Alligator mississippiensis: one gene and its partners. The protein of the gene in region 3 binds, or shares a complex with, the protein of the main gene of each other region. Links are inferred from orthologs where the notes say so. Each region holds a gene or a part of one and is shown on either strand. Other genes may lie near its edges.

Region 1 (10,138 bases), on a different chromosome or scaffold from region 3:
GCAGGCCTCATGGCGCTGACTGCGTCTACTTACCAGGAGAATGGAGGAGAATACCACCTATGCCCCCGTCTCCTTGAGCTTGGTTCCCAGGGCCTCGTAGTCCTTCATGATGTGATCTGGAGTGCTCCCCGCTACGTCATTCATTCCCACATGGGTTAGGACCATGGGGTACTGGTCTGAAGGTCAAATGAGTTTTGGGATCATGCCTGTAATGTCCTGGATCCAAGCCCCAGGTAGACAGCAGACCTCACACTCCATGGGGTCAGATCAGCAGATGGGGCCCTCCATTCCCCTCAGGATGGAGTCTCCGATGACAAGTACTCAGCATTTCTTTCTCTTGCGCCCCTGTTCACACTGTGCCACATGTAGAGTGGCACCATCCACTCTGGAGGCATCTCCTTCTACCTTCTCCTCCAAGGCTGCCAGGGCCTTGAATATGTTCCCCATTTGTACCTGGGGAGCTGCCTCCATGCTAGCCTGAGGAGCCCTGGTTCTGGTGGTCACCTTCTATTCTTTGGCTGTGTCTCTCTTGCAGGAGGTTTGTTGGTTGGAAGAGTGATCCTGCAAAGAATGGAAATGTGTGTCAATCTCATCCTCCGCAGCCCTGATTCCCGTTAGGCTGCTCACCTCGGCCTGGAGCTCCCTCACCTGCTCCTCCAGGGCCCAAAGTCGGGCACAAGAGGAACAGTCAAGGGAGCCTCCAGACCCCACTCCTACCCGTGGCCTCCAGGTCCCCGCCAGGCAGCCCCCACAGACAGGGGGGCTGCCTGGCCTCCGTCTGGGTGGGGGTCTCAGAGGAGCCCAGGGTAGGTGGCACCACCAGCGCGGGGTTCCCAGTGGCTGCCCTCCTGGTCCTTACCCCTGAGTCGCGGTCCCTAGCAGCTGCTCCCCGTGTTCTTACCATGTCCATGTCCGTGGAGCTGTGAATCTTCCTCTCTCTCTTGCTGCAGACTCCTTCCTGGCTCATGCTGCACACCTTCCTAGCACAAACGCCAGTGCACTCTTTCAGAGCACGCCTTTTGCACGCTCTGTTCGCGTGCACGGCTCCTTGCCGGCTCAGCTAAAAGGGATCCAGGGAGCTTCCCCTCCAGATCTGCCTCAGAAAGAGGGTTGTCACCTCAAATGTGTAAAACTTCCCACATGTCCATCATCTTAGACCCCCCTGGCAAAAATAAAAATTGGCACTTATTCTCCTATCTCTTGCTTCACCCCACACCTTGATCCCTGCTGCCTGTCCCACCACCACTTTGCCCCACTCCACTGCTTGCTCCCCTGATGGCTGCCCTCCCTTGTGCCTGGTACTCCTGGCATCTTCCTCCCCTTGGTGTCTGCCACCTACCATACCTGTGACCACCCCCCTCAGCACTGACTTGGCTCTACCTCCTTCTTCCTGCTCTGCCACCACCATTTACTCTCCATTGTGGCTCCAGTTCTGCTCCAGGCTGGGCCACAGAGCACATGATGACTTTGGTCCCTGCCTGGTAATGCAAGAGTGGTTGCAGCAGCTTAGAGGGAAAACCTCATCTTGGTTTGGAGTAAATATAGTGCTCAGAAAGAAATATCTCAAAATGACAGATGGTGGAGATGTCCTTTATGTACAAAAATGGCACAAACTGAGTTTGAACTCTGTACAGGAACAGTTTTGCTCACACTCCTTGTTTTAGCATTAGGTACATTTGTTACTATGGTTTTCCTTAGCAAAGATACAAACAGAATAGCACAGCTGGCATCTGCCAAGAAAAATGTGTAGCTTCGTAAGTTCCTTAGTAAAAGGCAGCTGTACGGTAACTTTGGCAGAGCACCAGAAAAGAAGCAAATTGCCAAGGCAGTAGATTAAGTGTCACATGCCCTCAAGGTTCAATTCCATTTTCTAAAGAAAATGGTTTGAATATACCACAGAGCACAATGTGGCTGATAGCAAACTGACTTCTCTCCAGTAGGGCTTAGGAACTCCTTGAAGGGCTTTTGAGGAGGCCACTTACTAAACTGAGAAGGAGATTGTAAAGATTTATGATCATCAACTGCTCACAACAGGTGCACTGAAAAACAAGGGTAGGGGGAAGCATGCATTCAATTACTTTTTGTCAACCATTTATATCTTTCTGGGCATGTCTACACGTGCCACTATGGCACTATTGTTACTGCGCTATCATTTAGCATTTACCGCACTATCATTTATCCTTTTCAAAGTACTAAAAGACAGTTCTGTGACAGCTGGTATTGCGCCATGTGCACTGTGCATGGTTGTTTTTAGGGATTACATCACCTTAGTGACATGCTATAACAGGGGAGCATATCACTATGGCATTATAGCTGCAGTGTCATGGGTTTTGCCCATGGATGCTATGTCACTGTGGTGAGTTGCTACAGCAACATAGCATCACGTGTAGCAGTCTCTGAGAAGATGATGAAGACAATTAACTGCCCGTGACTCTGCTTTGAAAACTATGCATTTTCTTTTGATACTCTCTTCAGTCCTTGGGCTTCTATATATTTGCTGAATAATTAAGGCAACTAAATTTTTTAGAGTACAGGTGTCAAACTTGTGGGGCCAAATGACTAGCATGGGGCAGGGATCCTGGAGCAGCTGGAGTGGGTGCTACATGTGGCTCAGTCTGGTCAGAGTAGCAGCCGTGTTGAATGTGTCATCTGCCCTGGCAGCTCTGGACTGCACTGGACACAGTACCTGCTGCAGCCAGTCCAGAACTACACTGCTTGTGGCACCTGCCAGTTCTTCATGCAGCATGGGTCCAAGAACAGATGGAGTGAGCGGCATGTGCAGCATGTATCTCAGAGCAGGCATTGTGTGTGGCACCATGCAGCTGGGGTGGCTATTGTTGGCTTAGAAAAGGTATTTAGAGGTTTGTTTTTGGAAATTGGCTTATAGGTATATGTATATGCATTAGAATGGTTCAGGATGGGAAGCGGGGGTTAATTGATTTCTAAGAGTCTGGGTCATACAGTTTTACACAGCATTGGAAGCAGACAGGCTGTCTAACACAACAACGCCAACAAGGACACATAGTCTGGAAAACAGTCTGGGAAAGAGGGGGACATGTATTACACTGTCCATAACATGAGATAAGGTAGCACCAGCTAACAAGGCCCCAGAGCAGGCCAGAGTCCCAGTTTTGTGGGAACAGACCAAATTAGGAGAAGGCCTGGAAAGACCAAATTAGTATGTGTGCACATAACGGGCTTGGAGTGTGTGACAACAGAGGACATGGACTTTTGACTACATAGAGGGAAGAACCAGTGATAGCCATGGATGAAGAGTCATCAGGAGTCATCAGGAAGAAAGGAGAATGCAAAAGAGAGACTGGAGAGTAACAAAGGGCCCCTCCCTATCCCACCTGGGTTCCTTCATGTCCCTTCTCCCCAGTCCCACCTGGGTCCTTCTTCTCCACATCCCTGTCCCCTGGGAAGGGTCCCCAAGGCCACTATGGAGAAAGGGTACACCACCAATCTGTCTCATCCACCCCACTGGAGGAGGAGTGTAGGCCTCTGCATCCTACCTCCAGACTGCTCACATGCTGCCATCTGATGCCTAAGAGATCCTGGCCAGATGTACTTTGATTCTGATGACAGCCTTTGGTAGATATATAGAACTGCTTGATTGTTTGTGTTGCTTCTTTTCAGTTATCACTGGGTATCAGTACATTTGCCTATTAGTGAGTAGAAAGGTCATGGTCAGTCTGAGGGTGGGTGGGTCTTTCCCCCTCCTGGTGGGTCCCTCCCCGGAACATGGCATCTGGATCCAAAATCCAGAGCCAACAGCCATTACGTGCAGTGTGACTATCATTTTGGTCAGACTGCCTCATACGCAGTGCCCATTCTGATCGCAGTCTGGTCTGGTCTGGAGAAGCTGCAGAAGCATTTCCTCACTGCTCAACTCCTCCTGGTCCCTCGGAGGAGTCAAGTGTACAGGCATTCATTCTCCCAGGAGAACTTCTCCTGGGAGCAAATTCTGTTGTGTCAGAGATTGGTTATTTTTCTTCCAGGACTGCCATTTTTGTTCCAGGAGAAATTGCATAAATGCCTGCACACTTGTGGGTTTTCCAGGGAAAGGAGCAATTATCCCTGTAGAAACATAACACCCGTACATCAGCAAATGCAGCCAACAAATATCTGTGAAACCCAAAGAGACAATATGTCCCATTCCTGTTTAATGCTGATCTATGTAGAAGATGACAGCTTACTGCTATCATTAATTACCATATTAGCTTAACGTTGCAGAGATCTGTGTAATGGATTTTTAACTCTGCTCATGTGATGACACATGTAGGGACCAATAAGATGTCACATGATGAAATTTCTGTTGTTCAATTTGCAAAGCCTAGGGCTGTGGTTCTCAACCTTTTAAAATTAAAGGCAGCCCTTGGAGAATCTCAGCTCTTAGCTTTTACTCATTACTTGACTACAGAAAAATTATAGAGCAGTTCTTCTACTGCAAAGCACTCAGGAAGACCACAACATGTCAAAATATTTTTGACAGTATGGATTCCTGTTTGAAATCTCTGGATTTATTTTGTGCATCACGTGCAGATGTTATACCTAACAGTACTAATATTTGGTAACACTTTTAATAATATGCCACTACACTCTGGTTGAGAACCAATAGCATAAGGAATTGTACATGCATGTACACACATATATACAAACTTCATTAAAAGAAAACTGAGGCTGCAAAGTTAAGCAGTCAAAGGTTAGGAAATGTCAGAATCAAGGCAATTGAACCTTAAGTCAAAACTGTCTATTTCGTGTAACGAATGTAGAAAAAATAGTGTGTGGATCATGCAATTAACAATAATGTCATAATCCATATGCAGAAGGGAGCTGGACTACAGCTGTACAGGCCAACTTTATAACATTATTTAATAGAGTTTCATATTCTTTTAGATATACTTCATACACAAGACAATAAATTAGTTTACTTCTCTATGGATAAATCTACACTGTAGTTACATAGAGAATGACTGTAGCTTGTGTAGCTTTCTGTTAGGTAGCTTTTCTGGTGGGTACCAATAATAGTTGGTTCCTGCCTGGAATTCTAAGAAGTACTAATACAGCTTGCCAGCACTGAGGTCTTGGCTGCCATGACTACACAGTTAACTCAAGTATATTACATGAATAGTTGTTTGCTACATGAAGAGCTGCCAGCATTTCTCATAAGACTTGGTTAATCATCTTCATACGTTACACACCAAAAAAACAGAATAAGCTTTTTCCTTTGAATGACTAAGCCAAGATTCACCAAGATAGCCTTTCACTGGCAAGTAAGATCTTGGCCTTTTCTGAATGAAAACAAGCGAGGCAAAAGAGCATTCTCAAACCTCTAGTCATAGATCTTAACTGCAAAAAGACTGAGAAAATGGGAAAAGGAAGGAATGACCATGTAAAAGAAGAGAAAAGAAATGAAGATGATAGGATGCAACTCAAAAGGACAATAGGGTATTTTAATGGGGTGAGTTTTATAATTGGCACCATAGTTGGTGCAGGGATCTTTGTGTCTCCTACAGGAGTGCTACAGTATTCTTTACTTAACGTGGGTGTTGCGCTATGCATCTGGACTGCCAGTGGAGTAATATCTCTGATGGGTTCCCTCTGTTACGCAGAGCTGGGGACTGCACTACCGTTCTCTGGAGGAGAATACAGTCACATAAAGAGAGCACTCGGATCTCCACCTGCTTTCATCTTTATCTGGACAGCGATGTTTACAAAGCCAGCATCAAATGCTGCCCGAGCCTTGTTGTTTGCAGAATATGCCACTCAACCTTTCTATGGTGCCTGTCCTGTACCAGAGCTGCTAAAAAAATGCTTGGCTTTGGCTGTTCTTTGGTGTCTGGGGATTCTGAATGGCCGCAGCATCAAAATGGCTGCTTGGGTTCAAACTGTTTTCACAGTGTTGAAGATGACGGCTTTATCCGTAATTGCCATAGGTGGCATTGTCCTGCTGGTTAGAGGAAGAAAGGAGAATTTGGCAAGGCTTGAGAATGCTTTTAGTTCAGAAGTTCCTGATGCATCACAGATTGCAGAAGCTTTTTTCCAAGGATTATATGCATATGGTGGTTGGTGGTCCCTCAATTACATGGCAGGTAGCTATTTTAAAAAATATATATTTTTAGCAGCCTTTCTCACATTATTCAGGCAATGTTATTATCACTTGTCTCCCTGTGAAAATAATATTTGTGCAGACATGTGTTTTAAAATGCTGGCTATTTACAAGGACCTTATGAGTTTCCATTGGTAAAAGAGGGTTGCCCTCATACATGGAACTTATTTGCTTAATGTGCATTAAAACTATAACTATATTGGAGGTCTCCAGAACAAAAGGGATATTTAAATTTGGACTAATATGGAAAGCAAAGATTTAAATTTAAATCTCTCTTACATACAGAACTTTCACAACGTAAATGCTGATTTTCCCTTCTTTTAATCTCATTGCAATTATATAAAAGAGGGTGTTACTTGGAGTGGGGTAGGATGGGGGTGATGAGAGTTTCACATAGTAAGGACTGAGTGCCTTCAGCCACACAAAGCACAGACCATTATCCTACTAAATGGTATTTTTTCTATTAGTGCATGGACTAATCATTAAATTTAAAATTAAAACTTTAAAAATATATAATTTTTGCAGTGAACCAGAGCTATTGATTTCCCTAGCAATGCAGTTCTTAGTGGAGAATAAAAAAAATAAGTAAAGGAAATAGTATAAACACTTTTCTGTGCCCTTTTAAATATATTGTTTCTAAACATTTTAAAGCCTATAATAGTTTAGTAATATACTCATTTATTCCACTTAATATATAGTGCCACATATGTCATAGTAGCAAAACCAATTAGCACGACAAACTTCTATAACAACTTCAGAGTAAACAATGTTAACAGGAATGTAGCCAATCATGAACACCGGACTAATCTAATGATTACCCAAACATTTTGCAGGATTGAGCTGTATGTTCTGAGTTTTTCTTCTTATGTCTTTAACATTCTCTATCTATTTCGTTTTTTCTCATTAGTCAAATATTAAACAAATTAAAAGTAACAAAGATCAGCAGAGAAAACTTGAAAAATAGTTAATGTTTTAAAAAGGGCAGTTTATGAACTGGTTATTTCTAGCTTGAAACTATGCTGCAGAAAAAAGTAATTTTTTCCCCCAAAATAAAATAAAATAAAATAACTAGAATTTGAAATCCTATTAGGGCCTTTTAAAAAAAGTACAAGTTTGATGTAACACGAGATATTGCAAATGTATTTATACTGTACTATTTTATTTTATGTTTGGTTAGCAACATTAATGCAGTAGAACAAATTAGACTCTATAATACTTAGGCAGAATCTATACTTTTTGACACTGAATTTTTACACTTTTTCAAGTATTGTTTCAAGTAACTACCAATATTATATCTAAGAAAAGAAATTAGGAGGGGGAGAAATCCTGGATTTTTTCTCTGGCATTTACTGGGTTCACTTAGCAGTACTTTAGGTGTTAGTTTTATTTTTTCTCCTGTACAATCACTCTTACATGTTATTTGTGTAGGTCTTTCAAACAGCAACAGGAGAAAAAATTAAATAATAGGAAAATGTGCTTGTGAAAGCTCAATGGGGCTTTATCTTGGGGCAGTTTTAAGAATTGTAAATAATATTTGTAAAGAATCTGTCAATTCAAATCTAGGCAATTTTAAAAAGGTGTTTGAAAAGTAAGTCTGGTTGGAAAAATTCTATGAAATCTGTTTTTCAATATAAAATTGGGTTTTCAGTTAAACATTTTCTTTTGGCAAAAGTATTTCTACAGATAATTCTGACTTTATCAACCCCCCCCCCCACCCGTACATCTACAAACTAAAAACATTTGGATTGTGTGTGAAAAAGTAGATTCAGAACCAAATCAAACTATTTGCTTTTGTCACTATTTGATAATATATAACATTCCTCATAACCATCGCAGTAGTTCAGACGATGGCATTGTTTAGTCTGGAGGCTTATGTTCAGAAGATGGTAGAGTTAATATTGTTTACTCTGGTAGCTTATGTTCCCATTCTTGTCTAAGGATGGGCCTTCCTATTCAGGAGTCTTTTCCCATGATGCTCTTCAAAAGCACAGGAAGAACAAGAACATATGATGCATCATTTAGCCCACGCTGAGAGCCAGCCTATCTAAAACAGGGGTGGGCAAAATACTGGCCCAGGCACAGTAGAGCCATGACACATCCTGCTGCCCCCTGGGCATGCAGCAGGGCTGCAGTGGTTCTGCAGCTGGACTGTCTTTCTAGGCAGCTGAGGTTGTGGCAGCTCCTTCCGGCTGCTGCTGATGGTGGCCCCAGCCCTGGGGTACCAGTGGGGACCTGTGCTGCATAGCCCTGAGCCTGCACACCCTGCACCTGCTCCAGGCTCACCTACCCAGGCTCAGCAGTGGTGGCCTGGGACAGAAGCTGTTGCTCAGCACGGGGAAAAGTGGTCCTCCTCCTTGCCACCACTGGGCTGTTCTTGCTGGAGCTACCTGGAGTCTGCACCGAGCAGCCCTGCGTCTATGCGTCACTGCCACCTCTGGGCTGCTCAGTGGGGCAGTGGTGGCAGTGCAGAGAAGATGCAGGGTAACCCAGCGTGGCGTGGGCTCCAGGTGGCTGCAGCAGGAACAGCTGTCAGTGAGAGGTTGCTTGTCCTCTGTTCTGAGCAACAGCTTCTGTCTCATACTGCTGCTGCTGAGCCTGGGTGGGTAAGTCTGGAGCAGGCATGGAGTGTGTAGGGGTAGGGCTGTGCACATGGGTCCCTGCTGGTACCATGGGCTGCAGGAGCTGGAAGGAGCCACTACCACCTGGGCTTTCTAGAAAGGCAGTCAAGCTGTAGAGCCACCCCAGCCCCACTCTGTGCCCAGGGACGGCAGGATGTGCCAAGCCCAGACAGTGCAGAGAAGGCCCAGGGCGGGCTGTGTCCGAGTTCCTGCTGATCTGTTCTGGTGGGGGGGAGGCTGAAGTAGGCCTGGGGTAGGGCTGGGGCTGTGCACTGCTGGCAGTGGTAGGAGGCACTGCGGGACGTGAGGGCTCTGGGCAGTTGTGGGGTGGGGGCGGGTGCTGATCGGGGGGTGTATGCAGGAGCTCCCATGCACACCCCACCATACCCACAAATCCTCCCCCACAAACCCCACATGCACCCCCCTACACACACCCACATGCCTCTGGGGAGAGCCCCACTCAATGCTATGTGCACACAACACACCACACGTGTGCACCCACAGCCTCCCACACACGCTCCACCATTGGGCCCCTAAAAATGCTCTACAGCCATGACTTAACACATGTGTACAGTTACAGAATGTTTTCAAAATGGCTAGCAATGCAAAAAATTAACCCTGGTCAAATGAAGTATTAGATTAAGGTGCTTTAAAGCAGAATGCCTTAGAAAATTTGTGTTCCTTCCAGGGTTAATGTTTTGCATGGGATCGGGGCTCAGTGGGGGAGGGTGGATTGGGGGAGCAGTAGCATGGAGTTGCCAGCAGCTTTTGAATGGCCTGAGCTGGGGAGGTGGGGTGGAATGGAGCCTCCTCACCTTGCAGCCTCACCCCACCCAGCTACCATGGCTGAGGTATGGGAGCCAGTCGAAGCCCACAAGGTGAGGGGGCTCTGTTCCAGCCCACCCCTACCTCAGCTCTAGCCATTCAAAAGCAGCCCATGGCTCTGTGCTGCCACTGTCAAGAGGCCCAGGTGAAGGAAGGGAGTCCCTCCTCACCTTACGGGCCTGGCCTGGCTCTCTCCAATAATCCAGCTGGGGTAGCTGGAGGGGGACCGTGAGTTGAGAGGGACTCTCTTCCCTCATCCCCCACCTGGGCCTCTTGACAGTGGCACATGGAGCTTCAGCTGCTTTTGCATAGCCAGAGATAGAAGGGTGGGGCAGGGTGGAGAGAGCCCCCTCATCTCATGGGCCCGGCCTGGCTCCACCTAATACCCCAGCCAGGGTAGCTTGGGATGGAGCCTGCAAGGCGAGGGGGTTCTGTTCCACCCCCCTCGCCAGTTCTGGCCATCCAAAAGCAGCTGGCAGCTCTACATGCTGCCACTCCTCCTCCTCTTCACTCCTCACTGACAGCCCCCAGAGCTGGGCAGTCAGGCAGGGCTGGGGAGATGGGTGGTTCAGCAGCCTCCTCA
Region 2 (10,965 bases), on a different chromosome or scaffold from region 3:
AACTGGCTTTTCCCCTATTCCCTCCTCCAGTGGAAGGTTTGGGGGCATGGGCAGATGCAAGCTAGGCTTGGTACGCTGAGGCAGAAGAGTGGGAAGAGGAGCTTAAACCACCTCCGTCCCCACCTCTGTGCGAGCCCTGGGTTGGGGTATGGCCATGCCCCCCTCTGCTCAAGTGGGGGGGGAGGGGCAAAACCCTGGCAGGGACTGCCCCACCCCTCCCTACCAGGCAGATCTTGATTAGGGTCCCCCGTGGGCCAGGAATGGGGTTTAAACCCACCATACACCTGTTAGCATGGTGGCCTGGACCAGGAGGGTTTGGGAGATAAGCCTGGCAGGGGCAGTCTTCCCCTTTCCCTCCCCTCCCAGACAGACCTGGTCTGGGGTCTCATGCAAGCCGGGGAGGGGGTTTAAAGCCCCCCACCCCCTTCCCCTGGCCTCAGCATGCTGGGCCTGGTCACATGTCCTCTGCTCGAGTCTTGGAGGGCTTCTCTCGTCCCTTCCTTTTGGCAGTGGCTGGGAGGCATGCTCTTGTGCCCCACAACTTCTGGTCTGAGCCACTGCAGGTGTGTGGCTGTATTTCTGGAATTGAATGTGAATTTCTGTTTACCTGCTTCCTGGTTCACTCTGCGCAGTTTAGACTAACCTGCAAGATTGAATCGATTCAGCCTCTGGCTTTTCAATTGTCTATACTTAGCCCATGGGACTCAAATGCTGTTGAAATTTTATCCAGCATTCCTAGTTGTGTACAACTCAATAAATTTTAAGTTGTTACTTGATTAGCACTGTCTGACATAGAAATCTGACACAATCTCTCCATTAAATACTTTCCAGCTCCATAGATCCTGCATGTATGGTTTGTCCTTAGTCCTTACTTAGCATAGGCTCAGTTTGCAGGTGTGATCTGGCTGCAGCCTATCTGCATGCACTGGCATGATCTAGCATGCAGGGGCTTGTCATCCAAACCATAGGCACTGAGTACATGGGGGCCCGAGGGCCCTGGCCCTGCTTGAGAAGAGGGTAGGATGACCACCCATAGCTAGTTGGGCAAGACAGTCCTGAAATGGGAACATCAGGTCCTGGTCCCAGGTTACATGACTTCAGGACAGCATTTGTCCCAGATTCCCAGTATTGTGCAGGGATCTGGGTTTTCTGTTTGCCATGGAAAACTGCACAAAATGGTCGGTTTCCTGCAGGCTGGCAGAGTTACAGCCTACAACGGCCTGTGGGGAGCGGGATTTAGGGGGTGCCACGTGTATGTGTGTATGTACATGCATGCATGTGGCCAGGAGTATATCTCCAGGTAGTGGTAGAAAGCAGCTCCCCCAGCTGCCTGCAGGCAAGCTTACAGAGAGGGGCAAATTGAGGACCCCACAGTGAGGGAGGGAGTGGGGAAGGGACTGGACCTGGGGGTGCTGCCCAGCCAGGGTAGTGTATGTGTCCTGAGGTGGGGAATTAGATACAGCCACAGGTGGCTCCTTGAGGGACCAGGGGGAAGGGTGGCTTCCTGCTACTACACACACTCCCTGGAAGGTGGGGCATAAGGGGTCATGTGCCTTCCAGATTTATGTACATGGCAGGGGTGGATACAGCTGTCTGTTCTGCCCTTGGGGCTCCCTGCCCTCCTGTTCTCCCCCCAGAGCACCGTGCTGCCATGGCGAGATACCCCCTGCCCACCTGGCAGCAGCAGGGTTGGGGATGCAGAATATTGCCCCCCACTGCTGCCAGGCAGGCAGGGGGTGATTTGCCATGATGGCATGGCTGGTATGGAGCTCCTGCGGGGAGGGGAGGGAGCCCCAAGCCTGCAGCAGGCTGCCTGCATCTACCCTTGCTCCCCTATGGGCTCTTCTCAGCTGTGCTCCAGCTGTGCTACCTGGATGCTGAGGGCATCAACTTAGGCCCCCCTCCCCCCCCCCCCCCAAATTAAAAGTTGGCGCCTATGATCTCAGATCTGGAAATCTGTTAACTGCCATGGTTCTGGGAGCTAGTGCTCCCTTGCTACCAAATTTCTAGTCCTGTGGGGAGCCCCACAGGCTGCATGAAGCAGCTCTGGGGGCAAGAGGTTGAGTGCCACTGTTCTATAGCAATGTTAAACATAGCAGAAGTGCAGTACTATTAAGGTATTTAGTGTAAAATTTTTCTTGCCTCTTGCTGTAGATTTGTAGTTTTGGGTTTACTCGTCTGAAGTGATAGTTCATCTCCTCCATTAGCTTCTCCTGTTCTTTTCCTTAAATTTTCTTCATCCATTTGGTTGATCTAATGTTGGAATCTTTCAAGATATGAAAACAGAGGTTAACTTCCTTTTTTTCCTTTTATATGCAATCAGATGAATCCTAAATTGTGAATAAAATGTTGCACAAATATTCAATTAACTTGTCACAACAATAAAGAGTAATGTCCTCTCATCACTAAAGAGTTTCAGAAGGGTAGCTGAGTAGTGTGTAAAGGCGCATACATTTGTACACCTCCTTTTCAGTTACAGTGAAAGCTCTGTTATTCGGCATCCCCCAGGAATGGGAGATGCTGGATAACAAAATATGCCAGTTAATTGAGCGGCCCTGGCCGCTGCTTCTCACGCTGCTTCTGGGGCGTCCCTCCGCCCCTCCCGTGGCATTGCTGCCCCTCCTGCCATGGCAGTACTGGGCCCTGCAGTACATGGAGGTGGGTCCTGCATAGCCCTGCACAGCCTGTTATGCCCCCAAGCTGTGGGGGCTCGGCAATGCAGGCTGCTTTGCCCCGAGCCATGGCGGCTCAGAGAAGCCAGAAGTGCCATGGTGGGCACTTCCAGTTTCACTTTATCTTACAAGCCGGCATGCCGGTTAGCAGAGCATGCCAGCTTGTGAGATGCCAGATAACAGAACTTTTACTGTATTTACTATTTATTCAAGAACCATGGTGGGTCATAATGGGACTTTGAATGCTAATGTAATTATTTGTCTTTATTGTAAAATGATTTTCAAATTGAATAAGGATAATTTGGGAACATTTGCATTATACTATGAATTAGGGCTGTGCAAAGCTTCAGGTGCCGATTTCAATTCGGAGGAGATTCGGTCTGATTCAGTGGCCGAATCTCCAAATCTAAATCGAATCAGGGGACCAATTAAAAAGTATGAATCAATTCGAAGCTCTCTGAATCTTTTGGTGAGTTGGGCAGTCCCTGCCCACTGCAGCAGGGAGCTGGACCCGGACTCCAAGCTGGTAAGTAGGGGGTCGGGGGGAGGTGACCATGGGGGAGCCCCTGCCAGGCCCCATCCCCTGCCCGCTCCCCCAACCCTCCCATTGCTGCCCCATCCACCCCAGCTTCTGGCCCTTTAAGAACCCTCCCCCCAACTCACTGGCTTCTGCAGTGGCCTCAGGGCTTCTGGGGGCTTGTGGAAGAGCCCCCCACATGGTGTGGGGCAGCGGGGATAGCTCCCCTGACAGGCAGGAGCCAGTGAGTCAAGGCTTTTTTTGTTTGTTTGAGGGTTTTTTAAAGGCTGGAGCTGAGGTGGGCAGGACAGCCATAGCGGGGTCTGGGAGAGCGGGGAGGGCAGGGGGCTCATGGCAGAGCCCCCACACAGCAGGGGACAGCAGGGATCACCCCCCTGCCTGGAAGCAGCTGGTGAGTGCAGGCTTTTCTTAGAGAGCCGGGAGCTGGGGCAGGTGGGGATGGGGCCTATGTGATTCGGCTGATTTGGCAGCAGCCGAATCTTTGAATCAGATTTGCCCAAATCAATTCAGGATGGTGATTTGAATCACCGGATCGAATCACTGTCCCCAAAATTGGCCGAATCCGAAGCGAATACTAGCTGTTTTGCACAGGCCTACTATGAATGTGTGTTGTGCTATATAAGATTTAAGTATTATTCTAAAGTTATCAGGAACTCTGCTAAACTCTCATTTAAATACTAAACAATCCTTAGCAAAAACCACATAAAGATTCTTCTTAGTTAACTGAAAAACAAAGGCCGGTCTTAACCTGAGTATAAAATTCTGGCTTTCATATATATTTTACTTAAAAACAATTAACCATGTATAAAACTGTCTTGCCAAATGCAGCCATTCAGAAATAAGAGTTGACTTTAGGATCCTGGTTTTATATTTTCCAAGTATAGTTTTCATTTGCATAAAAAAATCTCCATTAGATAATTTACTTGTGTTAAACCTTGCCATTATTCTTGCTTAAATCATTTCTTAGTTTTATTTAAATATGATTTTGTAAATCTGCATCATATATTATTTCCTAAAATAAAATTGACAGGTACTAACAATATAAGTTAAAAGTTACAACTAAAATTCTAAAGACCCACTTAAGTAATTGATGCTCTCCTAAACTGGAACGAAGACCAGTAAACTTAATGCTCTCATTAACTTTATTTGAAATAGTAATGTTTTATTTTCTAGAACATTTAATTCGTATATTATCAAGTGGTGAAGCAAGTTGAAGCTTACACTTGATGCTCTTTAACAATCCTGTCACGCAAAATTTCCCTCTGACCTTGGCTCTGAATTTCTTAGAACAGAATTTTGAAAGAATCACAGTTTTATGTATTATAAATTAATAGATTGTTTGCTTGTTGTTTCATTTCAGTGGCCAACCTGTTATGTCAATTTAGCTGGTTATTACTAATACAAATTGAATGGATGGTGCTTTAAATCCTCAAAGTATTAATTCCAGCATTAAACATTTCAGATCAGTAATCCTCAAAAGATGAGGGTGCAAATCTAAACAGTTCATCTAAATAAAAAAAAAAAGCTAAATATTAGCAATAGTGACAATATCTTAATATACATCTTCAGCTATAAACTTATTTTTTTTAAACTTCAAAATATTCATCATGGTTCCAAATAAAGATTCAGACTTAAATGTATGAGGACCACAAGGCTTGAATTTTATTACAATTCTCTGCCTAACGTTTTACTTTAAAAGTTTTATTTAAATAGTAATTTAAAGCATTATATTTTAACATTGCTTTTGCACTTACCTTATTTCTATTCGTATGTCATAAATCTGGTCTCACAGCTTTTGGACTAGTGTGTTTCTTCACCCCTCCAGTTAGATTTATCAAAAGTTAGTCAGCTGGAAATGTCTGTGTTTCAATCCTGATTATTCAAAGAGGAAGAAGCTTAAGTACAGAGGTTATAAAAGGTAATTATTAAACACATTTGTAGCCAAGAAGCTTTGAGATACGAATCCAAGGTAAACCAACAGCCCATTTAGTTTATCTGTAAAAATGTTTTTGGATTTATCCATTTATATGAATAAACTGTTTCTATTAATGTTTGGCCAGCATCGGAGTGTCTTATTATGCAGTGAGAGTGACCTAAGACCCCATGAAATTAAGAATTTGTTATGATTGTAAATGTGTTAAGGTCTTTCTAATTCATAAACAAATATAAAGGAAAAGTACCTTGGAAATGAGCATTTTTATTATTATGACCATCAGTTGTTTAGTAACCTGAAAAGCATTTCCAGATGCTAACATCCCATAGCAAATGTTTACTTTATCTTTAAAAGGTAAGGGAGTATGAATTTGATCCTGACCTAGAGGGTATTTCAGAAAAAGTATAATAGTCAATAGTCATTTCCAACATGAAAAAGACAAAGAAAACCATGATTTCAGTTGCCTTCATCCATTAACATGAAATTAAAAAGTACCTTTTCAAGACATTTTTAACTTGGAACATCCTGACTTTCTAACACCTACAAACTAAATTGGCTACAAATCATTCTAGAGTTCTTTGGGGAAATGGTCTCTCAACCTTAACACTATACTTATGAAGAAACCTAGAAATCTCCTTAGGTTTAAAAATATATTTAAGAATTGCTTAGTAAGAGGAGTTTCTGCACACTATTATCTGGACAACTCAACAGTCAAGATGACTTCAAATTTAAGGAGACCTCCTGATCATGAGATCTATACATGGAAAATTATAAATTTGTCCTGTACAATCCCACAATTGGCGGTTATCTTAAATTTGTCCCCACCACTACTGCAGCAGGGAAAGCAGTGGCATATGGACAGGCAGGCAGCCTGACCTGTGCCCCTTGTCCTCTGACCCCTCCCCACCTGCCTCCCCTGCCACTCACTTCTCCTCCCCACAGTGTCCACCACAGCGTCCACGATGCAGTAATTCTGGCTCTAGCTCAGACCATGAAGTACCTGAAGGCCCTGGTGCTGGCAAGACAGCAGAGCTGGCCCCGGCCCAGCAACAGCAGTGGCAGCTCCAGTCCCAGACCTGGCCTCAGTCTTATTTCTCTTTTGGTGCCACACAATAAAATATTAAAACTTAACTGTGGAAGACATCTAGTATACATTGTTTCAGGTTTGGATCAAGAGACAGACAGCTTGAGTCATCCTGGATGTATGTTCAGTGTCTATGGTCTGTTGCTGATCAGTGGCCATCTACCTTAACCACTGACTTGCTGATCGAGTTTAACAGTTCTGTTTCCTCATATTTAAAACAGCTATAATATTAACCTGCCTTCCAGAGTTGTTCTTGGCAGTTCATTGTTTTAAGATGCTCTGAGCTTATTAAATTAATTGCAATTTGACGAGTAGTTCTTGCCTTTGTCAATTAAGGCTGAAGCACCCAAATAATGGAAGAGAGAGGATTCTGGTAACATGCCGTCCATGAGCAAGATGGCGATGGTGTAATAATGTCTAATGTGAAATTCCCTAGCTGTTGTAGAAAGAGTACTTCTGTCTCATCCTCATGAATGGATGTGATCAAGGAGCTCAAATTCCAAGGACCTTCTGAAGCAGAAGCTCTAAGATGAGTATAATCCAGTCTGAACAGAAGTTGGCTGCAGATTTTGAAATTTAGAAGTATGCTCAGCATGATTATACAGAGTAATTTTTTAGTAGTAATAAATTAGTAGAGATATAGTTACTGTTTATATAACATTGCTATTAATAACTGGTAATAAAAAGTTAATATTTGTTAGGGTTGGTATTTACTGCTTGGTAATAGTGCATTGATAGTGCAATAGGGCAATATTGCTATTGATCCTGATGTCACCCCCAGCACAGGCAGCCCAAGAAAAGACCCATCCAAGAAAGCCCTGGGGCAGCCTGTCCGCCACACCTGCCCGACGCTCTGCAGGACCTTGAGGTTGTTCTCTAGCTTCTCATACTGTTCGGTGAGCTCCTTCAGCTGCTCGCACACTGCAGGGGGCAACACGGGAGTCCGTTACTTTGGATCAGTAACAATATTCTACCATTGTAACAAGTTGGGCCTTGAATGATAAGCATTTCAAAAAGGAACTTTTTCCTTTTCTTATCACTGAAACAGACTATGTAATTTTAACAGGAATGATGTGTTGTTCGCACTTTCTCCTTTCTTTGAGTGATGATTTTCTTGTTGTTTAAGAACAAGAGCTTGCTTTAAGAAGTTACTATAAGGACTGCGGTTTAAGGATTGTTTTTTGTGCGTTTCATATGCATCAGAAATAGATGCTACACATGTGAGACCAGAATATTTTTGACTAGCAGGTCCACATATGCACCCTGCCTGTCCTGTAGTAACTGACAGATGAAGATGTAAAGGATGGGGAAAGCTATTTCTGCTTTCCATTTCTTTTCTACTGCCTTTGGCTACAAGATGAAACATCTACAACATCCTTATCTCTGCTAACTGCAACTTTTTTGTTAGTTCCTAGTTATAGCTAGTGTAGTTACTTTTGGCAATATAGTTAAGAATAAACTAGGATGTAGCATAGGTCTCAAGTCTGGAAGGGGCTCTTGTACCAGACCTCTCTGGACATTGCAGATGTGAAGTCACCAAGGTTTAAGACCTCTTCCTGCAAGGCAACTTTTCATATTACTAATATACGCTCTAAAGCACCTCTTCTCTGAAGAGGTACGTATCCCATGCATGTTTCTCTGCTCCTGGCTTTCAAACAACCCTCTAACTTTCTGAAGCAGCTTATCTGAAGCAAACTCCCCACTGTTTAACAGACATAAAACAGGTTGCAACCTTGCCTTACCAGAAGATGCAAAACCTGTCTATATCTCTGCTGCTATAACAAATAGACACTGCCCACAATAAACTCATCAGAATCCATGAATCCTACACATGCCTTTCCCAAAGTGTGGTGTACTGGATCCACTGCACCAAATGCTCTCATGGTAACTACTATGTGGATGAAAGTAGATAAACTGCACACCAGAACAAATTCTCACAGAAAGAATATAAAGGAGAGAGAGACACAAACACTAGTAGGAATGCATTTTTCACAGAACAGCCACTCCTTTTCTGACCTCACTATCCTCGTGCTCAAGGGAAATTTACAGAACACCTTCAAAAGGCGAGCCCTAGAACAAGAATTCTTAAGCTGCCTGAACACTAAGAGCCAAGGACTGAACACTGATAATTGACTTTATGACATACTATAATCTACGTAATCCCTGAACATTTTTTTCTACTGCAGGTGATAATGACCCTCTTCCCTTTTCAAAGGTCTCGATCTTCCACTAATCAAGCTGTCTTTTCTTGGTAATTGCTTGTCTTTGTACTCCTGGGGTTTTATGTCTTTTCCAGTTTCACAGCCCAGCACACTTTTAAATCATTACTGTGCCTGCTGCTTCTCTCAGACCTGATCAAGAATATTTCACATCTGAAAGCTTGTCTGTCTCAACCATGCAGTTGGACCAGTAAAAGATCACCCACAAAATCCTTGCTTCTTGCATATTTCCTAGACCACCATGGCTACAAAGTCACTCTGATGCTAAACATGGAAGATATTGAAAGCTGCCACTTAAAATGGAGTGTGTGTAACCTTAAAAAAAAAAAAAAAAAAAGCCAGACTACACAGTGGTACCTTCTTCCTGAGCTTCTACAAAAAAAAGCATCATCCCAAGGGGACTCATTTGCAACCCTCTAGCTAGCGTGCACAATTCCATATACGTGACACAACTCTGCAGGAAAACCTCATAGAAACGGAGAACCTATTCTCTTCACCTAACATACTCCAAAAAGGATCAACTTAAACAGGACAATACAAAATTATGCTACTAAACTAAGAGATATTAATCTGGAAGCATACCTGGCTGCTGTGCAGCAGACAACATATGACCAGAAGTACCTGATGACAGCCATCCAATACAAGAAGAAAAAGTGGAATCAGCTATCACAGCAGAAGCCACCTCACAGGTAGTGGTGTAGTAATGCAGGAGAAAATTGGAACAATTTCCAATAATTGTTCTTTCTGCAATATTGGTCCATACTTTTAATATCTTGATTCCTTACCATTGCAGGCAAACTCCTATGACAGCTGAGAGAGTTTATAATAGAATACTTACAAGGGCCAGTTTAACACAGAAGTGTAGTTGAAGGTGAATTTTATGATGCTTAGAATTATAAAATCACTGGAAAATTCAGTAAGATCTGAGACCTCTGAAATAGTAGTAGGAGTGGTGCTAGTCAGGGTTGAAATTTACATGCAGACCTGTGTATGGAAATATACACAATCCTGTGCTACTGGCCACTCCTTCGTGAAAATAAAAGTAACTTGAAGTAATATCAAAATAAAGATAGACCTTCTCCCATGTAGCAAATTTTAGATCCTCTTTCCTCCTAGCTCAGATACTGTAAACATGTACTTTTCCAACCATTATAAGCACAAGCTCTATTGTAAATTAAAACCTAAAAGTCTCCTGACAGTCTATAGATCTGATTTTATTTCTCAGTGAAGAATCCAGTGGGGAGGTCGCATTTGTCCATCTAAGATGCCACTCTGGATGCTGAGAAGGGGATGTCATGTTTCTGACAGCTGCTCCTGTGCTCCATAGATGTCTGTTTAAAGTCAGTCTCCTTTTTTTTTTTTTTGCAAGAAACAAAAATGTTATATGTGGTTATGTTGGAGTGGTGTTGTAGACATGGTAGTCCAGGAAATGAGAGGCACGGATTTTGGGGGATGATATATTTTATTGGACCAACTGCATAGTTAGGAGAGGTTTTAGGCAAGCTTTCAGGCTCAAGGTACCCTTACTCGGGTCTGGAAAAGAAGCAGATGTAATTTGAGCTAAGGTACAGATAGAGCATGGATCACATGTGTTTTCCCAGGCTTCTGGTCTGACTCAGTCCTGCTCATAGCACATAGAACTTTGAGCTCCTTTAGTCCGTAAATCTAATCTTCAATACTTATGGCATTGGGTTTATCTCTGTGACGTCTTATCCCTTGCTGCCACAGCAAGAATAAAACATCCGTCTTGGCCTCTGTTTTATATATCCATTTTGATTCTGCAGTTCTGTATAATACGCACCACCCGAGCCCTTTGACACTGATTTGTGCGCTGTATTAGCAGCTTGTCTGAAGACACACGTAAGGAATCCTTGAAAGCTTCATACTCATTAAGCTGTAAAGAAAAATATTGCTTCTGTGCTCTTACCTATTTGTACAACCTGTGACTGCAAAAAGGATTTGCAAGGATGGGTGGTACTAATAATGCATTAGTAACTAAATCAGAATTGTATGTATAGAGTGGATTCACAATTTACAGCACTATTTCATTATGAGTAAACAGACTATTCCAGGTTATTAGAGCACTCAGAAGTAGCATAAACATTGCTGTAATAAATGCCTGAAACCACAATTACCAAAGAGTTCAGCAATCAATTACTTTGAGATTTCCTGCTGTTAAGAATGAATGAATTTCAATTACCTTTGCAATTCCCTGCTGTTGTGAAAGATGAATACAGACCCAGCTCTGAGAGGTGCTGTACTCAGTGGCAGCAGCTTTTGAAGCAAGTGATATGCTCAAGCCTTCTTAAAATATAGATCATACATAAGAATCCATGTGAATACAAATCTTGTGAATATGTAAGAATGTCGTGGTTCATGACTGACCAAAACTAGTTCATTGAGTTTGTAAATTTTTATCAGTTACGTGTTTCAGGGACAAAAAAACCCCCTTCTGTTAAAAATAGAAAACAAGTCAGCTGATCTAGATGAATTAATGCATTTTTGACCAAGTGCAGTGA
Region 3 (10,587 bases):
GACTATATTTTGGTGTGTGTCACTCCCACCATGCACCACCCAAAGCAGCTGACTGGGCTTCTACCACACCAATCGCATAGGAGTGAATTTACTTTGCATATAACGAATTTTTGGTATAAAAAGGGTCATCACATAAGAGCAAATTTGCACATACAGAACCCACATAAAGCAAGGGAAACCTATAGTGACACTGAATCTTTCTCCTAGCACTTAACAGGGAATAACCATTTAGCCTTTCTCTGGTCCTCCTATGCATGCACTAGGGCCAATGCTGTAAGTTTATAAATGAGCTACTTAAATCTCGTTGTTGGCTTTGTTAAGATCCATCTGGCAGCTTTCTCAGCCTTTCACCAACCAGCTGAGGAACAGCATGTGTGTCTTCAGAGTAAGAGACTCGGCTCCAGTAGGACTTCAAATCTGAGCTTCACGTTTGTTATGAGAAAGCTATCCCAGTCTATGGTAACACACTGTCTTCTGTGCCTCTCTGAGGATGGCTTTCCTGGTGGTAATTACATTGGCAAGAAAGGTGGGAGACACGCAAGCCCTTACGGTGGATCCTCTCTACACTATCTTTTACTTATAGAAAGTAAGTCTGAAAACTTATCCCAAGTTCTGCCAAACTTGTCATGGACTTCCATTTGGGGAGACCTCCATTTGGGTGTTCTACCCAAAGCCTTGTTCCTGACATGCAGTGGTTTTATTGTGGTCACTGGATGGGAAAAGTATATTGGCTTTACTTCCTATACTGACCAAGGCTATTCAAAAAAATCTTCATGGCTGTTTGTATGGGAAGCTGAGATCTAAAGCCTTGAAGTTGTCAAATGAAATCTATGAGATTGCTAAAGTGATCCTGCCATTTCAATAAGGGTGCAGTCCACCACAGTACAGCCTATTTCTACAGCAGCAGGTCCATTCATGCATTCACCAGCCATTGGGATAGTGTGGAAGCCTCTGGGGCAGATGCTGCACTGGGCAGAATGGTCAGTAGCCTTTCTGACTGCCTTTGCTTAGAGGAACTCTTGAGATCCATCTCCAGGTTTGTAGGCATTGTTTTGGAGTTGCCCACTAGTAAGAACATGATTGTGGACAAACATCCTAAAAAGAAAGCAGCTACTTATCAACTGAAGTTCTTTGAGCTGTATCATCCACATCCTTTATGCCAGATCAGACTCCAGGGGCTAGGTGGGACATCGTAGTGGACCAGATGATCTGACTTGCTGGCCATGACTTGACAACTCCTGCCCTAGTCTATGCGTATTCTTTCTCAGCTGATGTTGGAAGAGGGCAATCCTCTTACTTTCTATTGGCCTCTTGGCAGCTGGGAGCTTAGAATTCAGTTCCCTGTTTCTTTCATCTTCCACTGATGCCCAGTAGGTGGCATGAGTGTAAAACGGATTTATCCCAATCCTTTTCTTATTGGAGGTTCCTTATGATTGAGTTGGTTCAAATACTGTATTTCTGGACTCCCCAGGGTAATAACAGGAACCCAACCCACCTTTCAGAAGTTTCACTTAATATTTCATTGTTAGGTGCATATCTCTCAGTATTCCTTTGTCTTTCCAGTTTCATGTGGTTTCTATTGCTTTGACAATTCAATAATCATTAAGAAAAAACCCCAAATCCCTTATGATTCCTTTCCATTTCGTGGATATAGACTGTATGGTCTGTGATATGTAGGAAGTTCATATCATTTAGGGTAGGGGTGTCTAACATGCAGCCCATGGGCCATATCTGACCCACGGAGCTGCTCCATCTGATCTAAACTACTGGTGGGTTACCAGATGTTGGAGTCATGGCCCTGGGTCCTAGGCGACATGGCCGTTGGCAGCAAGAGGGCAAGTGAGGGCTGTGCACATAGTCCCATTCACCCTATAGTCTCTTGTGTTGCCACCATGGATCCTTTCAGTCCCACAGCAGCCACTGCTGGCCCCACCATGTGCCCCAGGGCAGATCTAGGCTGTGAGTAGCTCATTCAGTCTGCATTCAGGGTGAAGCACAGGGCAAGTTTCAGAGTCTTGTTTTAGGGCTTGAAACAGTACAGACGCTGAGGCCTTAGGGTACCTGTTGCCCATCTGCCCATCTGAGTGACCACTCAAATGCCTAGTTCACTTTCCTGCCACACTTTTGATGTTACTAATTTGGGTGTATGACCTCAGTCTGGTCATAGAGCAACAGCTTTTGGTGCCTCTCGCTGCACCACAGAGCCTGCTTTCCCAGGCGCTTGTCTCGGGTACCTGTTGCCAGGTTGCTTCAGAGTCTACTCCAGGGGTGCTCAACCTCTGGCCCACAGAGCCATTGTATCTGAATGCAGGGCTCTCCACGGATTGGGAAACTTGGTAGTGGGGGAGTGGTGGCAATTAGTACTGCCGTCCCTCCCCTGTTGCCAAATTCTCAAATGCAAGCTGCATGCAGCAGGTTATCGCTGAGCCATACCCTTTTCCCCCTTGCCCTCCCTCATGGCTGGACTGGTGTGTCTCTGTCTCACTTTTTTGCTCTCTCAGCTCTGTCACAGCCCTGTCCTCCTCCTCCTCAGCCCTGTCACAGAGCTGATACAAGAAAAAGAAATGGTATTTTGAAAGAATACAACAGATTATTCACATATAGAAAGAAGGTGTTTATGCTTTGTAGCTTACTATTTAGTGTACAAAAAAGAAAAAGACCCCCCCCCCCAAAAAAAAATAAATAAAAATTGCACATTCCTTGCAGTATTGGGAAATTTGATTCTGTAAACTTTAGTTTCTGGTTTACCGAGAAAGTTGTTTCTTAACCTTTTTAATTTCAGTGTCTGTCAGGCCCTGTGGATTCTGTGTAGCCTGACAAAAAGGGTGGAAATCTCTGTCCACATGCAAATCACAAGTGTTTAACAATTGCTTGAAACTGGTAAGCATCAGACTTTTCATTTGTGGGGTACATGAATTGTCTGAGCCCTTTAATCCATGTATCTCATGTTGTCTCTGCCTGTAGGAGAAGCTGATGTCTGGAAGTTGGTGAACTTGTTGCTGGAGTTGTCATGGACAGGGCAATAAGGTGATTACCTCCTGATTTTGTAAGCAGAAGGCCCTAGTAACGTCTTTAGCAATGTATATTCAAGACAGGTTTGACTTCTGCACATCCAAAATGTACTTTTGACTCTTTTATGGTGACCACTGTTTGCAGTTATGAATCAGATGCACAAACCAAAAATTTAAATTTCTCAGCCTGGTGGTGATAGTTCAAATTTCCAGATTCAAACCCTTGTTCTACCACAAGACAAGCCACATAGATCACATTAGATCTGGGATCATACTAGGTCCCACATAGATCATGCTAGGTCTAGGAATATAGGAAAGTATGGCTGGAAGAGTTCACAAGGTCATTTAGTCCAACCCCTGCTCAAGGCAGGAGCATTCTTGATTAAATCATCCTGGCCGAGTGTCTGACTTGCTCTTGAAAATTTCTCTCTGTGTCCTGTTCCAGTGCTTGATCACCTTCAAAGTTCTTCCTGATCTCCAGCCTAAATTTCCTCTGCTGCAGCTTGACGCCATTGCTCTTAGTTCAGTGCTCTGCTGCTACAGAGAATAAGCCTTCTCCATCCAGAACTAACTTGAATAGCTCTATCTGGCACTGTGTTGGGCTGTGTAGACACCCTATGTTCCTAGATGTTGTGTGCCCTAAGAGGAAGTCATTTACCGTAACAGGCTGTTAAATGCCTAACTCCCATTGAACTCTTTATATGACTCTATATGTGTCCCAAGAATCCACAATGTTTAAGAAACATGCTTATGGTCTGAAGGGGAAAAGAGCTTTAGCCTGGGGCCAAATTGGCTCCCATATACTTATACCTTCCTTACTTAGAGGTCTATATAAAAGTTCATTCAGCCTTAAAATGTCCCACTGAATGTGCTAAGTTAGGCCATACAGTCAGTAAATTTATGTTTAAATAAGTGGCCTGATTTCTGTGGTGCTTTGAACTAAGTTCCCACTCACTACTGAGTATCTTAGATGGACAGAGTTTTTTTTATTAGGACCGAGCCTGTTCTTTGGAACATATATATCATTTGTAGCTAGGGCAAAAAGCCTGGCTTCTGTATGAATGAAGCTAGTCTCTCACCTCAGGAGAATTTTATAGGTTTTCCTTGTTTACAGTAGGTGAGATAATGTTACGTGCTCAAATGCTACAGCAGCTCTTGCATCAATCCAGAACAATATTGTAATACTAGCTTATTATAGTGTATTATACTACTGAGTGTTTAGTTAAAGTGTCTATGGGAGATGAAACAATACGTTGTCTTGGCTAATCTAGGTTAGTATTACCTTTCTTAACCTAGCTCTGGCCGTAGTTCTAGCCCCTAATTGAGCAAAGGTGACCTTGTTTATGGCAGGTTTTGCTAATGTGTGTTCTGATCTGCTTTGATAACCCTTTCTGGTGACGTTAGGCCCTTTTTATGTTCCTTGAGCCATTCCTCATCCTTTTCTGCCTACGAGTCTAGACATATATAATAGTTGCCCATCATCTACTGGAGTAGGCATATCCGCAAGAAAGAATTTTTTCTACGAAGGAAATGTTGAAAAATCCTGGGATCAGTGATACCTGTGAATGGGGGTTTCTTTCTAGGCCAGGGAAGCACTCTGGGAGACAACTGAAGTAGATTAAGAGCTTTCATTTACTAGTAAGGAGAGCTCTAGTGAAAAATCCAGGCTCTACCAAGCAGCTTCCCTCCGAGACACTTCAGTTGCGTCTCCCACTAACAGGCTCTCATTGTCCTTTCTCATTCAAAGGAGCCTTTCGTGGGCCAGTGGCAGGCAGGAAGAAGAAGTGGGACTGATAGAGAGCAGGGATAAAGGGTTGACAGGGTAAATTCTTCCTCTCCCTTTCTCCGTCTGTTTGGGGGAAAATGTGACTGTTATTAGGGGAAGGAGTAATGAAGCCCAGGGGTAAATTAAGACTATTTAATGTTTCACAGAAAACATAATAAAAAATAATGTCTCAGACTTATAAAATGGAAACCATGGAAACTTTTACAGACTCTTGTCTGTAAGGATTGTAAGGATACTAGGTGCTGTAAAATACTAGTAAGGGAATTTATTTTAATTAATTTCCTTTGTGTTGAAATCCATCGCTTTCCCCCAATTCATGAGAAACCCTGAAAATATTTCAAATAACTCTCAAATTTCCGGCTGTGTCTGCTTCATCCCTCTCAGCTTGAACAGTTGGAATGATTCTGTCATCACATTAGGACTAGGTAATGAAAAAGGAAGGGAAGGATTACAATTTCCAAATAAAAAGTACTTCATTTTTTCCCTCAGGTCTGACTGAGAAATCACAGAAGAAAATTATCAGCATTACACACTAAATTCTTGTCATTAGATTGTAAACCTCCGCACTGCATCAGTTTGGCTGCAAATTCAATGGATATTTATAAACACTTCTTTTACTTTTATTATAGCAATATGAAAGCTGCCTTATTAAGAGGCTAAAACCAACAACCTATACATGAGAAGGATTTAGACCTCCCAATCGTGTATTCCTCGGCCTGCATTTATCTTTACAAGTGGTGGGGCAGACCCTCAACAAGTATAACTTATGAGTCTTCCATTTACTTCAAAGATACTGTGACATATGACAGTACTCAAGGATCTGTCCTACTTGATGTGGGGCTATTGGCTTGAGCAGATCACAGTACATAAAGCACCTGTGCAAATCTGTGCAGGACTTGGGTCTTAGTGGCTTTTATGGACATTTTGGGTGATTCTCTGTTACCCAACCTGGAACAGTCAAATTTTGTTGTAGTGGATAGGGTTATTTGTACTTCAGCCTAATAATAGATCATCCATCTATTGCTTCTGTGCAAGCCCCATTTACTTGAGTCTATACATGGGTAGCAGTGATCCCTTCCACAGTGGATCATGGTTGGGCCTTGTACTTGATAACACACATCTGCTTCCTTAACTGGAATCTCACATCATTTCATTTGGGACAACAAATACATCATTAAAACTGTGTTGTGCTTGTCCTGAAGTTATCCAGACATTTGGATTCTCCTCAGGAATAAGATGCTTTAGTCTGTTCTATTATTTCTGTGCCAGAAGTGTCAGCAAATTGTTCTCATGACTGATTAAATTGCTCTTTAATACTTTTCAGAGTAATTTACACCAGGAAGTTCCTGACTCAAGAGATATGAGACTTGCTAAGCAAATGTTTTCTTGCTAGAAGTTGAAGCAAAGGCCATCTCCTTTTCAGGGCTGTGAGAAGCAATAAAAGTTTAGTAGGGCTAATAAGTGTGTGACAGCACCTGAAGCCTCATCTTTGATCAGTCAATGTAAGAAGTAAGCTTTCATCCCAGTTGGACAAGATTTAGTCTGCACTTCCTTGTAATATTTTACCATTTAGTTGAGGACATTCACTATCAGTGAAGTCCATTATGCCAAGGGGTAGAGAGCACTTTGCCCTTTCCTTCTCACTGAACTTTGACTGGTTGGTCAGGTTTATTATAAACCCAATGCTAATGACATAACTGCCCATTTTCCCTGAACAAAGGTAAGTTGCCACCTCTCCCAGCTGCAGCAGGACCCCCCCCAGACAAGACGTACCAAACAAAAATGGCTGAAGAGGAAATTAAAAGCTTCTCTGTTGAGCTGAGTGAGAAAGGAGGGATAGAAAACAATGGATTTGTTCAGGAGAAGACTGTGGATGAAAATGAGACCAATGCCAGTCGCCAAGAAGAGATGCCAAAAACATGTGCTGTTGGCATCAACCCAGAAAGTACACAGGAGCCCTCTTGTGAAGTTTTGAAGCCCTTTGCAGGAATGCCTAAGGAAGTCTTGCTTAAGTTCTCCTGTCAGGCACGGTACAGAGTCACCAGGGAAATCCTCTTTTGGCTTATAATTGCATCTGTGCTAGTGCTTGTATGTGCTACAATTGCAATTATTGCTCTGTCTCCAAAGTGTCTGGGCTGGTGGCAAATCAGTCCCATTTATCAGATCTATCCTCGTTCTTTTAAGGACACCAACATGGATGGGAATGGTGATCTGAAAGGTGAGTTGCTTTGTATTTTTGCTGTGCTCAAACCTTGCTAACATGAAGCTATATACATTATACTTCACATGGCATAATGTTATTTTTGGAAAGAGTAATATGGAAATTAATGTAGAGGCAGCTATATGTCAAGAAAGAGGCGGGGCAGCTAGAACTATGATTATCTTTAAAAAAAACAAACAAACCCTCAGGAATGGGTCATGTTCATAAATCCAAGTCTAGATTTAAAATCAAGTTAAAACCTCCCTGTGTTTACCAGTCTTCAGATCTGGGATTCTGGTGAAATACTGCAGAGAGAGGTTACAAAACTGACATCCAGATTATAATTTCCCTGCAAATTGGGTAGGAGAGCATAGAGTGTTTGGGATCTAATATTTTGCTGATCAATTGGTCAAATGCCATGCTGACCTTAGTTCTGTAATGTATCAATGGATAAAATCCCAACACCAGGGGTGGGCAATTATTTTGGCTGGAGGGCCGCTTAACAAGTTTTGGGGAGCTGTTGAGGTCGCAATGGCAGCCCCGCCCCCTGGTCACCATCCTGGGACTGGAAGTTCTACCCCCTAAACCCTGACCTTTGCCACTGGAAGTCCTTCCCTTTGCCCCTGGAAGTACTTCTTTTGGCAAGGTGGTTTGCTATCTTGGAACCAGAAAAAAAAAATTATATTCTAAAAATCAAGCATCTACTACAACATGCATTAATTTGATTTAAAAAAATATTTTTGTCCTGATTTATGTGTGTATGCACAGTGTACATAGAGGTAATTGCATAACAACTTAAAATGAAATCTTACTTTTGTATATTGTGGGGAGATGTAGAGGAGTGAGGGGGGGGTATGAGTGGGCAGAGGGCATAGGGTTTGTGCGGGGCTGTGATTGTGTGTGTGGGTATGTGTGTATGTGGGGTGTGGGGGAGAGTATGAATGTGTATATGTATGGGATTTGTGGGGGTGGATAGGTGTGTGTGGGTGGGTATGGGGTTTGTGGAGGGGTATGGGTGCGTGTATGTGGGGTGGGGGAACGTGGGTGTGTGTGTGTGGGGTGTAGGTGGATATGGAGTTTGTAGGAGGCTGTGTGTGTGGGGGGGGAGGGTGGCATGTGTAGGAGGAGGGTGGTTGGAGTATGTGGGGGGTGTCGGTGTGGGATGTGCATGAGGGTGCGGGTGTGTGTGCATGGGGGTGCAAGGTGGGGGTGTGGATGCATGTGAATGGTGGGGTGTGCGTGTGGGACCCACCCTACAAACACGCTCCCCCACACACACACCCCTCCCTCATTATGCACAGCCTCTGACACTAGTGGCAGCAGCAGGCAGTGGGACTTTGGGGCACTCATGACCCATGGCAGTCGGAGACTCCCGGTGGTGTGTGGTCCTGGCAAGCCCCAGGACTGCACATGGCCAGGCTGCCAGCAGGGAGGGGGGCAGAGCCAACCCAGCTCCATAGAGTCCCTGTCAGCTTGGGCTCTGTGCTCCTGCTGCCCTGTCTTGGGCCCCCACCAGCCCTGGCCTTGGGGCACTGGCATGGGCCCTACACTCCTGCCCAGCTGCCACTGCAGTCCCACCTACCCTTTTGCTGTCACTCCCCCCTGCCTGCTGCCGCTGCCACTGCCACTTCCCCTGCCACTTCCCTACCTTCCTACCCAACAACACTGCTCCCTCCCCCTCCCCCCCAACCTGCTGCTCTGACAGCGTGCAGTTTCTGGCTGTATGGCCAGAACTGCAGGATGCAGCAGGAGCCAGCCTGGCCTAAGCCAGCCCAGCCTGACACAGCCCCCACAGTTCCCAGCTGGCTCCTGCTGCACCATGTGGTCCTGGTCATACAACTGAGAACTACATGGTGCAGAAGCCAGCCCAGCCCATCTGGCACCATGCAGTTTCTAGTTGCATGGCCAGGACCTCATGGCGCTGGAACTAGCTGAGAACCATGGGGGCTGGGCTGGATGGGGTTGGTTTCTGCTGCATCCTGGAGACCCAGCCATGGAGCTAGGAACTGTGTGATGCCAGTGAGGCCAGGCTAGCTTCTGCTGCATTGGCGTTCCTTCCCCCACCCCTATCTGGTCTTACCTGAGTTTCCACTTTCAGACAGAGGGAAAGTGGGGGAACAGCCTCAAGGTCACCAGGCCAAAAGCCTTTGCTAGGCTGAAGCTTCTGGTTGGGGGCTGGGGGTGGGATGGGATGGGGACACATGGACCTTGCTCCTGCCACTGCTGGGTCCTACCACTGGCTTCTCCTGCCCCTGGTGCCTCATCAGCTTTTAGACAGGCAGCCACTGGCAGGTAATAATTTTCTGAATTTTAGAAGGGTCCCACAGGCTGGATAGAATGGCCTGGCAGGCCAGATCTGGCCCACATGCTGTATTTTGTCCTCCCCCGCCCAACACCAATTGAAACAGGGAAAAAAGAAGTATTTTCTCTGTGCATTTCAGATGATGATCTCCAAGTATATCTGATACAAACAGCTGGTGCCAAACATTACGAACTCAGTTGAATTGCAGTTTTTACTCCAAAAATGCACAGTAAAGGAAGGTAGTAGGCACTCTTCAACAGCAAGCAACAAATGAAAAAAATTCCAAAGGTGCATAAGAACTGCAATGTAGCAGGAAAATACACTAGTCTTCATTGAGAAGAGGAAAGCTGGTGTGATTTTCAGAGACAAAAGAGAGAATTGGAGTGAGAGACTAAGCAAAAGTGCTGATTTAAAAGAGAATGTCTTTCATCTACCTGGAGGTAAAGGCAGGGCCATTTGTTTTTATATTGTGCTAACCTGCCTCTGCAGGTGGTGTGAGGATTTCTTTCCTAACAAAATGGAAAGTATGAGATAATTAATACATTTTATTAGAATTAATCTTTTTCAGTTGCTATTGAATAAAGAATTTCAATGGCGGTCAATAGTTCCCATTCTGTGACTTTGTGCTATAATGTAAGAGTTTCAAGATTCCTCTAGCCTTAAGGAAGGAGGTCACATATCCCACAACCCACACATGTCCTGCAGTTTGAAAGTCTATGACAACATCAGCTCTGGTGCCAAGTCTTTTCTATAGTTGCTTTGTTTTGTCTTTGTAAGAGGTTTTGTTTTGTCTTGTCTTTTTCACAGGTATCCAAGAAAAACTGGACCATGTCTCACATTTAAATGTAAAAACAATCTGGATAACATCCTTTTATAAATCCCCCATAAAAGATTTTGGGTATGGAGTAGAAGACTTCCGTGATATTGATCCTATGTTTGGAACGATGAAGGATTTTGAAAACCTGATTGCAGCTATTCATGATAAAGGTAATCTGGAGATATGGCAAATAGCAGTGCTTCTAAAAATAGTCATTCAGGGAATAAAAGGTTGCTCTTGTTTCAGTAACTACATGTGATTGCCTTGCATTAAATAATTTACGTTGGCTTTAAATGTATGGATTTCTCTTTGTAACACTAGTTCTCTAGCCTTTTCTCTTGGCACAGGCGATAGGAGCCTGGCCAAACCAAGGATGGGTTGGTGTGAAGATGGCATTGCTTCTTGGCCTCTTGAAGGCTCAGATCAAGTATGACTCTGCAGCCTGGGTGGTCTTCCATTATCACTGGTGGT

Evidence for each region.
Region 1: the proteins of SLC3A1 (region 3) and SLC7A13 are in contact, whole or in part, in a cryo-EM structure (PDB 8WK6), measured with the Homo sapiens proteins. The link is inferred for Alligator mississippiensis from reciprocal best matches to the Homo sapiens genes SLC3A1 and SLC7A13. Residues at the interface, in NP_000332.2 of Homo sapiens: Pro64, Tyr65, Ala66, Gly67, Met68, Pro69, Lys70, Leu73, Phe76, Ser77, Arg81, Tyr82, Pro85, Arg86, Leu89, Phe90, Thr93, Ser96, Val97, Leu100, Ile101, Thr104, Ile107, Ile108, Ser111, Cys114, Leu115, Glu194, Asn195, Asp202; in NP_620172.2 of Homo sapiens: Ile120, Phe123, Phe124, Pro125, Ser126, Cys127, Leu132, Pro133, Cys136, Leu137, Leu139, Ala140, Met141, Trp143, Ile147, Arg151, Lys187, Thr265, Arg267, Asp281, Arg282, Glu450, Cys454, Tyr455, Gln457, Leu458, Leu459, Phe460, Asn461, Ile462.
Region 2: the proteins of SLC3A1 (region 3) and SLC7A9 are in contact, whole or in part, in a cryo-EM structure (PDB 6LID), measured with the Homo sapiens proteins. The link is inferred for Alligator mississippiensis from reciprocal best matches to the Homo sapiens genes SLC3A1 and SLC7A9. Residues at the interface, in NP_000332.2 of Homo sapiens: Pro64, Tyr65, Ala66, Gly67, Met68, Pro69, Lys70, Leu73, Phe74, Phe76, Ser77, Tyr82, Pro85, Arg86, Phe90, Thr93, Val97, Leu100, Ile101, Ala103, Thr104, Ile107, Ile108, Ser111, Cys114, His201, Asp202, Thr373, Glu374, Pro375; in NP_001119807.1 of Homo sapiens: Cys137, Phe140, Tyr141, Val142, Gly143, Cys144, Pro147, Ile149, Val150, Cys153, Leu154, Ala156, Ala157, Leu160, Phe161, Thr164, Leu168, Thr279, Thr281, Asp295, Arg296, Tyr299, Tyr343, Val346, Arg347, Lys467, Thr470, Met471, His472, Gln474.

The regions. Positions count from the first base shown.
Region 1 is NC_081826.1:50,305,245-50,315,382, forward strand, and holds the start of SLC7A13 (solute carrier family 7 member 13), read left to right. Parts: upstream 1-5,241; 5' UTR 5,242-5,371; coding exon 5,372-6,095; intron 6,096-10,138. UniProt on the Homo sapiens protein: Associates with SLC3A1/rBAT to form a functional heterodimeric complex that transports anionic and neutral amino acids across the apical plasma membrane of renal epithelium.
Region 2 is NC_081833.1:60,111,707-60,122,671, forward strand, and holds the start of SLC7A9 (B(0,+)-type amino acid transporter 1), read right to left. Parts: upstream 5,098-10,965; 5' UTR 4,965-5,097; intron 2,267-4,964; 5' UTR 2,245-2,266; coding exon 2,143-2,244; intron 1-2,142. UniProt on the Homo sapiens protein: Associates with SLC3A1 to form a functional transporter complex that mediates the electrogenic exchange between cationic amino acids and neutral amino acids, with a stoichiometry of 1:1.
Region 3 is NC_081824.1:196,898,189-196,908,775, forward strand, and holds the start of SLC3A1 (neutral and basic amino acid transport protein rBAT), read left to right. Parts: upstream 1-6,504; 5' UTR 6,505-6,579; coding exon 6,580-7,015; intron 7,016-10,106; coding exon 10,107-10,286; intron 10,287-10,587. UniProt on the Homo sapiens protein: Acts as a chaperone that facilitates biogenesis and trafficking of functional transporter heteromers to the plasma membrane.